3 linked regions of the Nothobranchius furzeri genome follow. The protein of the gene in region 1 purifies or fractionates together with the protein of each later gene. This does not show direct contact. Links are inferred from orthologs where the notes say so. Each region holds a gene or a part of one and is shown on either strand. Other genes may lie near its edges. The genes, in order: nedd1, c16h10orf88 and cct7.

Region 1 (3,702 bases):
GCAGACCGAGAGGGCGGAGCCGCTAACAAACACACACACAGGCTCACAATGACATTGTGACATCATATGGTACCAGCTAACGTTCTAGTGTACCTCTTAGCCAATAGTGATGGCAGATTTAAATTCAAATGCAGTGCAGAGTTTTTACCTGACAACGGCACAACACTGACAGTTTTAGGCAGAAAATTAAAATTTCTACTAAAATGCACTAAAGTGCAAAACTATTGACTACACGTGTCTGCAGCACGATTACACACATTTATATAGTTTATCAGAAAAAGAAGTTGATTTGGGGGTGATTTGCTGTTTAAGCATAACACATCCTAGCCCAATGTTTTTTTTATGTTTGTTTTTTTTTTAACCAGGGCGAGTGTTATCATTTGCGTAATGAAATATGAATTTTTCCGTGTACCCCCGTAATGCGCTCACGGACCCCTGGTTGGGAATCACTGCTGTTGTGCTGCCACACACACACACACACACACACACACACACACACACACACACACACACACACACACACACACACACACACACACACACACACGAAGTGTAATCTACAGCTGGCAGGTTGGGAGCAAACAGTAAACTCAAGAGGACGGAGGTCAGGTTAGGGGCGGGGCTGGGCTGGAACCTCCTGAAACGCCATCCTTGTTTGATCAGAACCAGAAACACGCTGACAGGGGCTGGTCCCCAACTCCACCTACAAACTAAAATCAGGATACTGTTGGAGCTCCAGCAGGCCTGAGCGACAGGATGGCTGCTGCTGTGTGGGTTAAACTGCTCCAGTGGTGCCATGGAAACAGCATCCCAGATCTTCACGCAGTCTCCGGTGGACACCAGACATGTGGCCTCCTCCATGGCAGCAGCTGGAGGCAAAATAAGTACAAATAATTACACTCCTGAATCGTTTCACAAAGTAAACAGCTTTTTTGATGCAGACGTTGTGTGTGTGTGTGTGTGTGTGTGGTGTGTGTGTGTGTGTGTGTGTGTGTGTGTGTGTGTGTGTGTGTGTGTGTGTGTGTGTGTGTGTGTTAATTTAAGCATCAGCCCTCTCCTCATTGATTTTAACTGAAACCAAACAGGAAGTATTTGGTCTTTTTTCTGTCATCAAATAAATAGAAATGTGTTATTATTACAAAGTCTAAATAAATTCTGACTTTCAGTAACAAATTCAAAAATAATGCTGGTAATTTACTGGCATTGACTGTACACAAACTGGTATTTATAGTATAACTAGTTTTAGCCAATATATAGGGCCAATTTTTTCTACTCTGCTTAAACACACCTGGTTTGAATCTACCTGGTGATTAACAGGCTGCTGCAGAGTCTGGTGTGCTGCTGAACAGGTGATTCATCCAGGAATCAGGTGTGTTGGAAAAGAAAAACAACTAAAACATGCTGGATAACAGCCCTCGAGGACCAGGATTGCCCACCCCTGCTATAGTACATTGTATCTAGTTATCATAATATAACTAGTATTTAGATGACTATAGTATATTTTATATAGTATTTATAATATAACTAGTATTTAGATTACTATAGTACATTTTATCTAGTATTTATAATATAACTAGTATTTAGATGACTATAGTATATTTTATATAGTATTTATAATATAACTAGTATTTAGATTACTATAGTACATTTTATCTAGTATTTATAATATAACTAGTATTTAGATGACTATAGTATATTTTATATAGTATTTATAATATAACTAGTATTTAGATTACTATAGTACAATGTATCTAGTATTTATAATATAACTAGTATTTAGATGACTATAGTGTATTTTATATAGTATTTATAATATAACTAGTATTTAGATTACTATAGTACATTTTACCTAGTATTTATAATATCAACTAGTTTTTAGATGACTTTAGTACATTTTGTCTAGTATTTAGATGACTATAGTACATTTTGTCTAGTATTTATAACTAGTATTTAGATGACTGTAGTACATTTTGCCTAGTATTTATAATATCAACTAGTTTTTAGATGACTTTAGTACATTTTGTCTAGTATTTATAACATAACTAGTATTTAGATGACTATAGTACATTTTGCCTAGTATTTATAACTAGTATTTAGATGACTATAGTACATTTTGTCTAGTATTTATAATATCAACTAGTTTTTAGATGACTTTAGTACATTTTGTCTAGTATTTATAACATAACTAGTATTTAGATGACTATAGTACATTTTGCCTAATATTTATAACTAGTATTTAGATGACTATAGTACATTTTGTCTAGTATTTATAATATCAACTAGTTTTTAGATGACTTTAGTACATTTTGTCTAGTATTTATAACATAACTAGTATTTAGATGACTATAGTTCATTTTGCCTAGTATTTATAACTAGTATTTAGATGACTATAGTACATTTTGCCTAGTATTTATAACTAGTATTTAGATGACTTTAGTACATTTTGCCTAGTATTTATAATATCAACTAGTTTTTAGATGACTTTAGTACATTTTGCCTAGTATTTATAACATAACTAATATTTAGAGGAATTTATAAACTAGGTTAGGAGCTCAGGAGCCGTTCGGTTTGAAACTCCTTTTTTTTTCTTCCACTCTTCGACCCAATACCATGTTTCTGTAATCGCTTTGACAGAAACAGCTGGACTAGTTTCAACCCGCTTTAGTTGGCGAGTAAAGGCTGACTAGCAGCTGTTGTGAGTTAACGCTAACTACCTAACAGCGCGCTTAGGCGGCTCTAAAGTTAGCGAACAGCCACAAGCCAGCCGGGAAAGTGACCCAAACGAGATTAAACTAGTTAGAAATGTTACAAGCTGATGTTTAACTAGGATGTTACAAACCTGCAGCCAGAAATAATCCTGTAAAAAGATGAAGATGTTGATATTTGACGCTCCGTCCAACAGGAACCGCCACTACGGAAAACCATAAGGGACAAAACCCCACCGGAACCAATAAAAGCGCTTTTTATCTCATCACAACAGAAACCTCAGTTTTACTTTACCGTCGTTGTGGAAAATGGCTGGATGCTTAAAATTAGCTTTTTTCCCCCCACTTCTCACACTGAATGAACGTTTATTTTTAATCACTGGACTCTTTAGAGCTGCACTTACAGCCAAACCTGTAGCTTTATTTGTAAATTTCCAATGATCAAACAGAACAATCAAGTTATGTGATTTACAAAAACAATCCCCACATCGAAAACAACAAATCAAAGACACACATGTTCCCCTTTCTGAGAAAATCATTCCACAGAGTTCACAAACTGCCCGTTTATAGAAAAGATTAAACAAATGTTAGACACCGGTGTATGTTTTGGTGCAGTATTTCTACAAATAAAAATACATTTGACTCAGTATATCAAGAAATTCTTCTGTCTAAATTAGTTTCTTATAACTTTGTTTAGATACACTTCAGTTGATGAAGTCACATATTTATATACCAAGAGACAGCATGTCTGCATTATAGATGCTCCTCTGGGGTCAACACTTGGCCCATCTGTTATTATATCAAAGATCTGCCCGTGTTCATGTGTTAATGTCAAATTTAAAATGTATGCATATGACGATGTTACCTTCATTTTGGCAAAAACAAAAACTCAGGAAGCTGCCCCATTCTCATTTTAGCTTTAGTTCCTGTAAATAACAACACAACTAAAATCACATGTATGATGTTCACCAAGCAACCAGTGGACATCAAACACTCA
Region 2 (3,657 bases), on another chromosome or scaffold:
AGTGAGTCATCATCCGGCGAGGTGGGGTTGTCTCCCTGCTCCTTATAAGCACAGACCGGTGATTGAGAATCTGCTGCAGCTGCCCGCTCCTCGGCTCCACCCACCTGCAATCGAGCACTCACACAGGTTATGGTAGAACCACTCACCTCAGATCCTGACAAGAATGTCTTGATGACATTTGCATCCAGTCATTGATGGAAAATGAAATAGAAAAAAACATTTTAACCAACTGATTCAGTTTTGTTTTTCATTTAGAAAGATTATTTTACTGAAGCTTTATCAAAATTATTTTGCATCTGCTGCTTTTGTTTCTCTCTTCTTGTAAGAACATCTGTGTGGGCAAAGTACAAAAGTCAGTATTCACCATGATTCATTAATGGAGAAACTGGTTCATCCTTTTTGTTTGGAAGAATTTTTTCCGGAATGTTTCAGAGTTTCTTGGCTTTCTTGGTACAAAGCTGCCAAAGTCAAAAGCACAGCTTTGAGACATCTTCAGGCACGGTACTGAACTAGTGCAACTATAGATATGACTTGAGCTGCTCAGATCTCAGGTTCTGAAATAAGTTTCTGTTTTGAAATGAACCTGGTTTGTCGTTTTCCAACTCTGCCAGAAAGGAAACCACTGTACTGTTTCTATCAGTAATTACAAGTACAACACATTATGACATTTGAATTTCAGAAGCTAAATTTTGATCTTCAGAAGTCAGAGTAAAGATTTCTGGTAACCATTTAAAGTTTGATGAATGAAATTAAAGTCAGAAAATATTTTTTTTATTTAATTAAAATACCTATGATGTGATTGATTACTAAAATTAAGGTAGTTGTATAACTAAATAGAAAAAAATTGGCAATTGCTACCTCCAGTATTTAGACCCTCTATCAGAGGGCAGGAAAGATGTATAGTTTTATTCAGCTACTTTTTGATTAACATCAATCTGTTTAATGACTGAGCTGCAAGTTTCTAAGATATAAGATTTTCTGACATTCTAAATAAAAGCAGCAGCATCCAGTAATGTGTACTCAACAGATTTTAAATTTGTCAGTGAAGCTCTGCAGCTGCTTAAATTTAACTTAACAAATTCACAATCTGGGATACTTAACAACTTTTTCGTGTTTTTAAATGATTTTCTTGAGCCAGTATGTGCTAAAATGAGCTTTTACAGGGTTAATGACTAGCCACCCAGACCATAATGCTCCCTGGGGCCATGATATTCCACTTGCAACTTCAGAGTTACCGGTCTGGTCTGTTGGACTTAGAAACAATTGAGTTGACATACCTGGTGCTGCAGTCTGGTTCCAGCATGTTCCTGCATGTTTTAGATAGCACAGCTGATTGGTTTAATGTAGTGATGAATCACTCCTGTAGACACTATTGAAGGCTGTGGAGACATTTCAGCTGTTAGATGAAGGTGTTACAGTGACCAACGGTTTTGTTTTTTGTTCTGCTAACTGACACGAGGGGGTGCTAAAAGCAAGCCAAAACTGCAGAGTTATCCCTTTAAATGCACACAGAACTTTGTCTTGTTATTGTAATATAAATGAAATGTTTTGGCTATTTTTCTGTCTGTAGTCCCCAGACTGCATCAGGCCTGCAGACTTACCTGCAGCTCAGAACGGAGGGATGTCTGAGGGCTCTACATCTCCAGACCTCTCCCTGTCCGACCTCAGCACCAACAATACATGTAGGTATCATCACATTGGTTATGATGCTTCGTAATGCAATAAGGTGGAGAGTTTAACATTTTCGACACAAGTCACACATTAGGATGCAGAAAAAGACGAGGATGTATCCACGTCAAAAAAGCGTTTGATCTTTCACCCTGAAAAATAAATCAAATCTAATATTTCTGCGCCATGTACAACATTCTTACAAAATCAGTAATATTTTACCTAGACCCGAATTTTGCTTTACTATGTAACAACATAATCATCTAAATATCTTGGAAACAATAAAGGAAAGGTAAAGACAGAATTATCTAGTGTAGCGTTTAAATTTACATATTATTTAATGAACCATAAAATGTGAGATTCCATAGGAAAAATGAAATCAATCTTATGGATCTTTGGATAATTTAAACCAGAAGATTGGAACTTTTTATTGCAGGGATTATGTAACCACTTCGTATTAACTCAGAGACAAAAGAAAGAGTCAAGTTTTAAAGTTAAGAAGATTTATTACTACACAATTTAAGACTAGACTAACTTTAAATACTAGGTGTATGGTGTAACTAAGGCGAAGTAAGACTGAGGATGGTGTATGTGTGAAATATGTTCAGAACCAACAAATCCGGAGAAACGATTAGTTCTGATGGGAGTGAAGATGATGTTTTCGCTCTAAGCTTTAGGTTGGAGATTATAACACACTTTGGGACGCCATTCTGTCGGTCTACGTACCCTTTGCGGAAGTCCCCGTTAGATCAGGAATGTCGAGGTCCAGCTTGACCTTCTCTGGAACCGAAGCTGGTAGAAAGGCAGCGGTTGCCGACCAGACCAGTCTTGAGATACTTCCGGGTCACGACAGTTTATTGGCATCTAGCGAGACCCAAAAAGGGGTCGTGATGGTTCAGCTTTTATTCTGAAAGGAACCGTTGCAGCAGGTGGAACATGCAACAGATTTAATCCAGCTTGTCGTTAAGTTCTTTTGGCTTTAAGAGGAAAGTTACGGATGGCCACTCCGATAACTTCTCTAGAACGCTTTGAACTGAAGTTAAGATGACGTGGGCATAGTTTTATGATGTGGATGTTTTGATTTACGGTCAAATCATAAAAGGACAACAAGAGGGGATGTACCAAGCACCAACAAAACCACGCCTCGTGTCAGATCTGGAAGGTTCTGATTGGATCAGAAAAAGGAAATGTGTCATGTGACTTTAAGCATTACGTGGATGAGAATGTCTAGTGCAGCAAGTTTAAAGTTATATTACTTATTAAAATACTACTGATCATAAACATTGTCATTTCACAGATTGGTTCACATTTTATTATTGGGCTAACACTTTGTTTGATTAGCTTATTAAAAATAGAGAAAGAGTTCTTTGATTTATTAATATTTAAAGGGAAAGAGTTCTGTCTTCTTCCTTCTTTCTTGTGCTGTTCGGAGAAGCAACAGTTTAGATAAAAGCAAAGCGTGAGTGGCCTTGGCCCATATCTTGTGGAATAGGCCTGTGTCAGTAACTTATGGTTTTGCTTGGGCAGAGCAAATAGAGCAGGGCCTTTTAGGTCCGAAATGGACAATTCATCACGCTATACTAAAAATAAATTCCTGAACCAAAATTCAGATTTTACTTAAAAACTCGTCATCAAGCATTCTTCATGTGAAAGCTGTCGGAAAAGTGCCTGAATATGTCTAAGTCACTGTTTGTTTTCTATCGTTTACATGCGCACAGAAAGTGTTTTTATGTAGAAGAAGAAAATATCATTTCTATACCGCCTCTCAAGATAAAAATCACGAGGCGCTTAAGTAATGTAAGCTGGTTAATGAGTTAGGTTTTTGGATGTCTCTTCTTCAGGGGTCTGTAACCTACAGCTCTGGAGCCACATGTGGCTCTTCAGCCCTGATGTAGCTTCTTGTAGCATTGACCAACAACAACTTGAGCCTGAGTTATTTTTACATTTAAACAACAGTAGGAAATGGGAATTTTCCAGTTTTCTAGAACG
Region 3 (3,757 bases), on another chromosome or scaffold:
TAACCTGGCTCTGATTAGTATCAATCACTCAGTAGGGGAGCAGATTTCATGTGATGACATTATTGATGATGTTGCATCAAGGTTAGGTTTTAATTTTAGTTTGTGTTTTCTGTTCTAAGTGCAATGCTGTAGTGATTATCTTTAGTTTGTTATGTGTGAAATATTTTTGCTATTTAGAATATTTATTATCTATTATGTTCATATATTCTTAATATTTAGTTATTGTTTGTTTTTGTATATTTGATTCTATATATTTTGATACAGTATATAATGTATAGTGCTTTACATTCTGACAACTTCATAGTAATTAATGTAAATATGTGCAACTTAGAAAAATGAATGTTCAATAGTCGTTCTAATAAAACATGCCTGTTTGTAGAAAACATGCGTGTGTTCATGCAGGTGGGGTGGTGTGGTGGTGGTGGTGGTGGTGGGGGGGGGGGGGGGGGGGGGTTGGGGGGGGCGCTCAAAGGGGGCCTCGCCCGGGGAGTAATTCGATGTAGAACCGCCACTGGCCCCTGGGGACACGGTCATAAGCCTTCTCCAAATCCACTAAACACACGTGGATTGGTTGGGCAAACTCCCATGCCCCCTCCATCACCCTTGCAAGGGTATCGAGCTGGTCCACAGTTCCACGGCCAGAACCAAAACCACATTGCTCCTCCTCAATCTCAGACACAGCCGTCTTCACCTTCCCATTAATAAAAACCCAGTGGTGACTGGAACGCGACGGTGCAAACATTTAACGGAGACAGACAGGTGAAGATCAGATGCTCTTCTGAAGAAAATAAAGCCTGCTTCCTTTAGCTTCATAGCTGTGGAACGTTTGGGTGAAGGTTGGGACGTCTACACCTGTCCACAGGTGATCTGGTCCACTCATGAGTAAACTCCTCCTCCTGACTTTCACGTGAAACTGAACAGCAAACACCAACCTCCAGGCCTCCTCCCTGGACCTTCTTGATGCCGATCATCTTCAGAGACATCAGCTCGTCCAGAGACATGACGGCATCCACCACCATTCTGGAGAAGAACCCCTTCTGACCGGCGATCAGCTTGGAGTTCAGGGCGGTGGCGGCGCATTTCTCCAACAGCTGCCTCTGCTCTCTGAGAAGAAACGTGACATTTAGGATCGAACCTCATACCATGGACGGACACCTCGCCACCAGAGGACAGCACTCACTGCTTGTCATCTTTCTTCACGGAGACGGCGATTTCCTTGATCTTGCTGACGGCGAGGTTGGTGGCGGTGCGGAAAGCTCTGATGATGGTCTGAGGGTGGAGACCCTCCTCCACGTACGGCTTCAGCTGCTTCAGGAACTCGGCGGACAGGAGAGTGACGGATGTGGTGCCGTCCCCAACCTGAGAGGAAAAAACACGAGTCAGTCCGAGACGATGAGAATTTAGACATCGCTGACGAACACAAATCTCACCTCAGCATCCTGGGAGCGAGCGATGTCCACCAGCGTCTTGGCTGCAGGATGAACCACATCCAGGAGCTTCAGGATGGTGGCGCCGTCGTTGGAAATTGTTGCCTTACCTAAAAAAAATACAAACATTAATCAGCTCGGTCGACTAAAACGCTGAAATCTAAACATGTTTCTCATTTTTATCTGACGTCTTCACACCTCTGCTGTCCACCATGAGTTTATCCATGCCCCTGGGCCCCAGAGTGGTCCGGACAGCCTCAGCGATCACCTGCAGCAGAAAACAGAACCCTACATTTAGAGACTGAAGCATAGTTCAGGGTCAGAGACATCTACAGTACAGATGACTTTAGTTTTGAGGGAGAAGAGACCGCAACAAAACCTCAGTTCACCCAAATGTGGAAAAAGAAGAGCAACTTCCTCTGACCTGACAGGCATTGATGTTGCTGATGAGCTGGGGAATGCCCTGAGACGTGTCTGTCCCCTCCTTCAGCAGGATAACCGGTGTGGGCTGCGGGACGAAGCCAAAAACATTAAACCAGATCAACTAGAAAGGCATCCATCTCCATGATCACTCGCGTCCTGGTGCTGCCTGGACAGATCTATCTTATAAAAAGTGAGTCTTGTTTACGTTCAGGTATAAAGATTAAATTTCATCTGTGAGGGTTTAATTTGGCGGGTTTCTTTTTAGTGGTGCTGATCATGTTTGCAGTCACATCAGAGCATAAATAAAAATTCAATATCAGATATAATTTCATGTCAACACCAGAGAGACATCAAATCCACAATAACCAGCATTTAACCAAATAAGGGAACAAACGGATGCTGCTTAAGCTAACGTGATGGTTTAATACCATCAAGCATGCAGCAAAACCTGGACAACAGCTGTCACTGTTGATTTAATTAAAACGACCAAAATGAGCAGCTACATCTTAACAAGAGATGGCTTTGGTTCAATCATATGTTGGTAAGCTAACATGAACTAATATGCGTCCATTTATACTCAAATAAATGCGTAATGCGTCCATTTATACTCAAATAAATGCGTAGCACTTAAAAAATATGCAACTATCTTTGTCTAATTATACGTTAAACTATAAACCTGACATCGCCCTTAGCATCCGTCATAAACGCCCATTGATTACAAAGATGCTAGCAGTGAATGGCTAACAATAACAGCTTCTTTCAGATTATTTCTACGCAATAACACCTTTTAAACACGGCTAACAGTGTGCATTATCAGATAAAACATTCCTGATGTTCATCGTGTCTGATAAACTAAAGGATGGGCACGGATTATAAGATGATTCCGCGGCTACAAAGCTAAAGCACACTCACCATCATCTTCGCAGTTCTTTCGAGAAGCTATTCCACCGGTTTCCCAACCCATAATGCTTTTCGATGGAGTGCATTCAAGAGCACACGACGACTCGGATTCCCGTTTAACTCTTCCTCCGAAGTAAAGTTGCCTGTAATTTTTTTGCTATAAATACATATTAAAATACATTTAATTCATTAATAATTTTCAGATATTCTTCCGTATTTCTGGGTCATCAAAACGGACTTAATTAAAATGTCATTCGCCGAGTCAAAATCTTAACATTTCATACAGTCTTTGAATGTAGCTTTTACGTCTGTCAGTGAAGTCTGGAGAGCGCTTGATTTGCAAAGAACAATGTGCAGCATGGGCGGGGCATTCACTTTAACCCTACTTGCAAATTTCATGGGAGACGCCAATTATTAAAACGCGCGCCTATAATGTCTTACCCAGAATTCGCGCGTCGTTTAGAAACCGTACACCTATTGGTGGCGGGAGAAGCTGTTTTATGTTATTAGTTGTGTTTAAATTACAACTAATTAGAAAAAACATAAAAAGAAAGCTTTAAGAATGGAAGAGTTTGGAGTTTATGCAGTTTTTGGAGTAAACGGTCCGCCTCAAAGGCTGCTGAGGTAGGAAACATACTGTTATCGTAACATTAGAGTCTGTTACTGTTTCTCATGCATTTACCCCATTTAGGAACAGTGTACAATGAAACATTCTGGTAAAATACTCAGTTGATTCATTTGTGTGTGTGTGTGTGTGTGTGTGTGTGTGTGTGTGTGTGTGTGTGTGTGTGTGTGTGTGTGTGTGTGTGTGTGTGTGTGTGTGTGTGTGTGTGTGTGTGTGTGTGTGTGTGTGTGTGTGTCCTTTTTCATGTCAGTGCGGACGGGTCGTGCAGAGTTTCTGTTGCAGTTCCTCCATCCGTCCAGCTGGTGGTGGTGTTCAGCTGCGGACCGTGGGGGGAGAGGATCTGCGTGAACGCGGAGCTCAGTGATGCTGATCGGTTCCCCAT

The links.
Region 2: the proteins of nedd1 (region 1) and c16h10orf88 purify together in Homo sapiens (co-immunoprecipitation; 3 studies listed by BioGRID and IntAct, counting the BioPlex papers as one, with this or other methods). This does not show direct contact. The link is inferred for Nothobranchius furzeri from reciprocal best matches to the Homo sapiens genes NEDD1 and C10orf88.
Region 3: the proteins of nedd1 (region 1) and cct7 purify together in Homo sapiens (affinity purification with mass spectrometry; 3 studies listed by BioGRID and IntAct, counting the BioPlex papers as one, with this or other methods). This does not show direct contact. The link is inferred for Nothobranchius furzeri from reciprocal best matches to the Homo sapiens genes NEDD1 and CCT7.

What each region holds. Positions count from the first base shown.
Region 1 is NC_091744.1:80,535,667-80,539,368, reverse strand, and holds the start of nedd1 (protein NEDD1), read right to left. Parts: upstream 2,912-3,702; 5' UTR 2,840-2,911; intron 870-2,839; 5' UTR 862-869; coding exon 726-861; intron 1-725. UniProt on the Homo sapiens protein: Required for mitosis progression. Promotes the nucleation of microtubules from the spindle.
Region 2 is NC_091756.1:51,775,041-51,778,697, forward strand, and holds part of c16h10orf88 (ATPase PAAT), read left to right. Parts: intron 1-1,570; coding exon 1,571-1,682; intron 1,683-3,657. UniProt on the Homo sapiens protein: ATPase that regulates mitochondrial ABC transporters ABCB7, ABCB8/MITOSUR and ABCB10. Regulates mitochondrial ferric concentration and heme biosynthesis and plays a role in the maintenance of mitochondrial homeostasis and cell survival.
Region 3 is NC_091754.1:61,255,977-61,259,733, reverse strand, and holds the start of cct7 (T-complex protein 1 subunit eta), read right to left. Parts: upstream 2,887-3,757; 5' UTR 2,769-2,886; coding exon 2,763-2,768; intron 1,936-2,762; coding exon 1,852-1,935; intron 1,696-1,851; coding exon 1,626-1,695; intron 1,538-1,625; coding exon 1,431-1,537; intron 1,360-1,430; coding exon 1,181-1,359; intron 1,105-1,180; coding exon 933-1,104; intron 1-932. Other genes in the region: krcp (kelch repeat-containing protein), read left to right, coding at 3,313-3,374, 3,626-3,757. UniProt on the Homo sapiens protein: Component of the chaperonin-containing T-complex (TRiC), a molecular chaperone complex that assists the folding of actin, tubulin and other proteins upon ATP hydrolysis.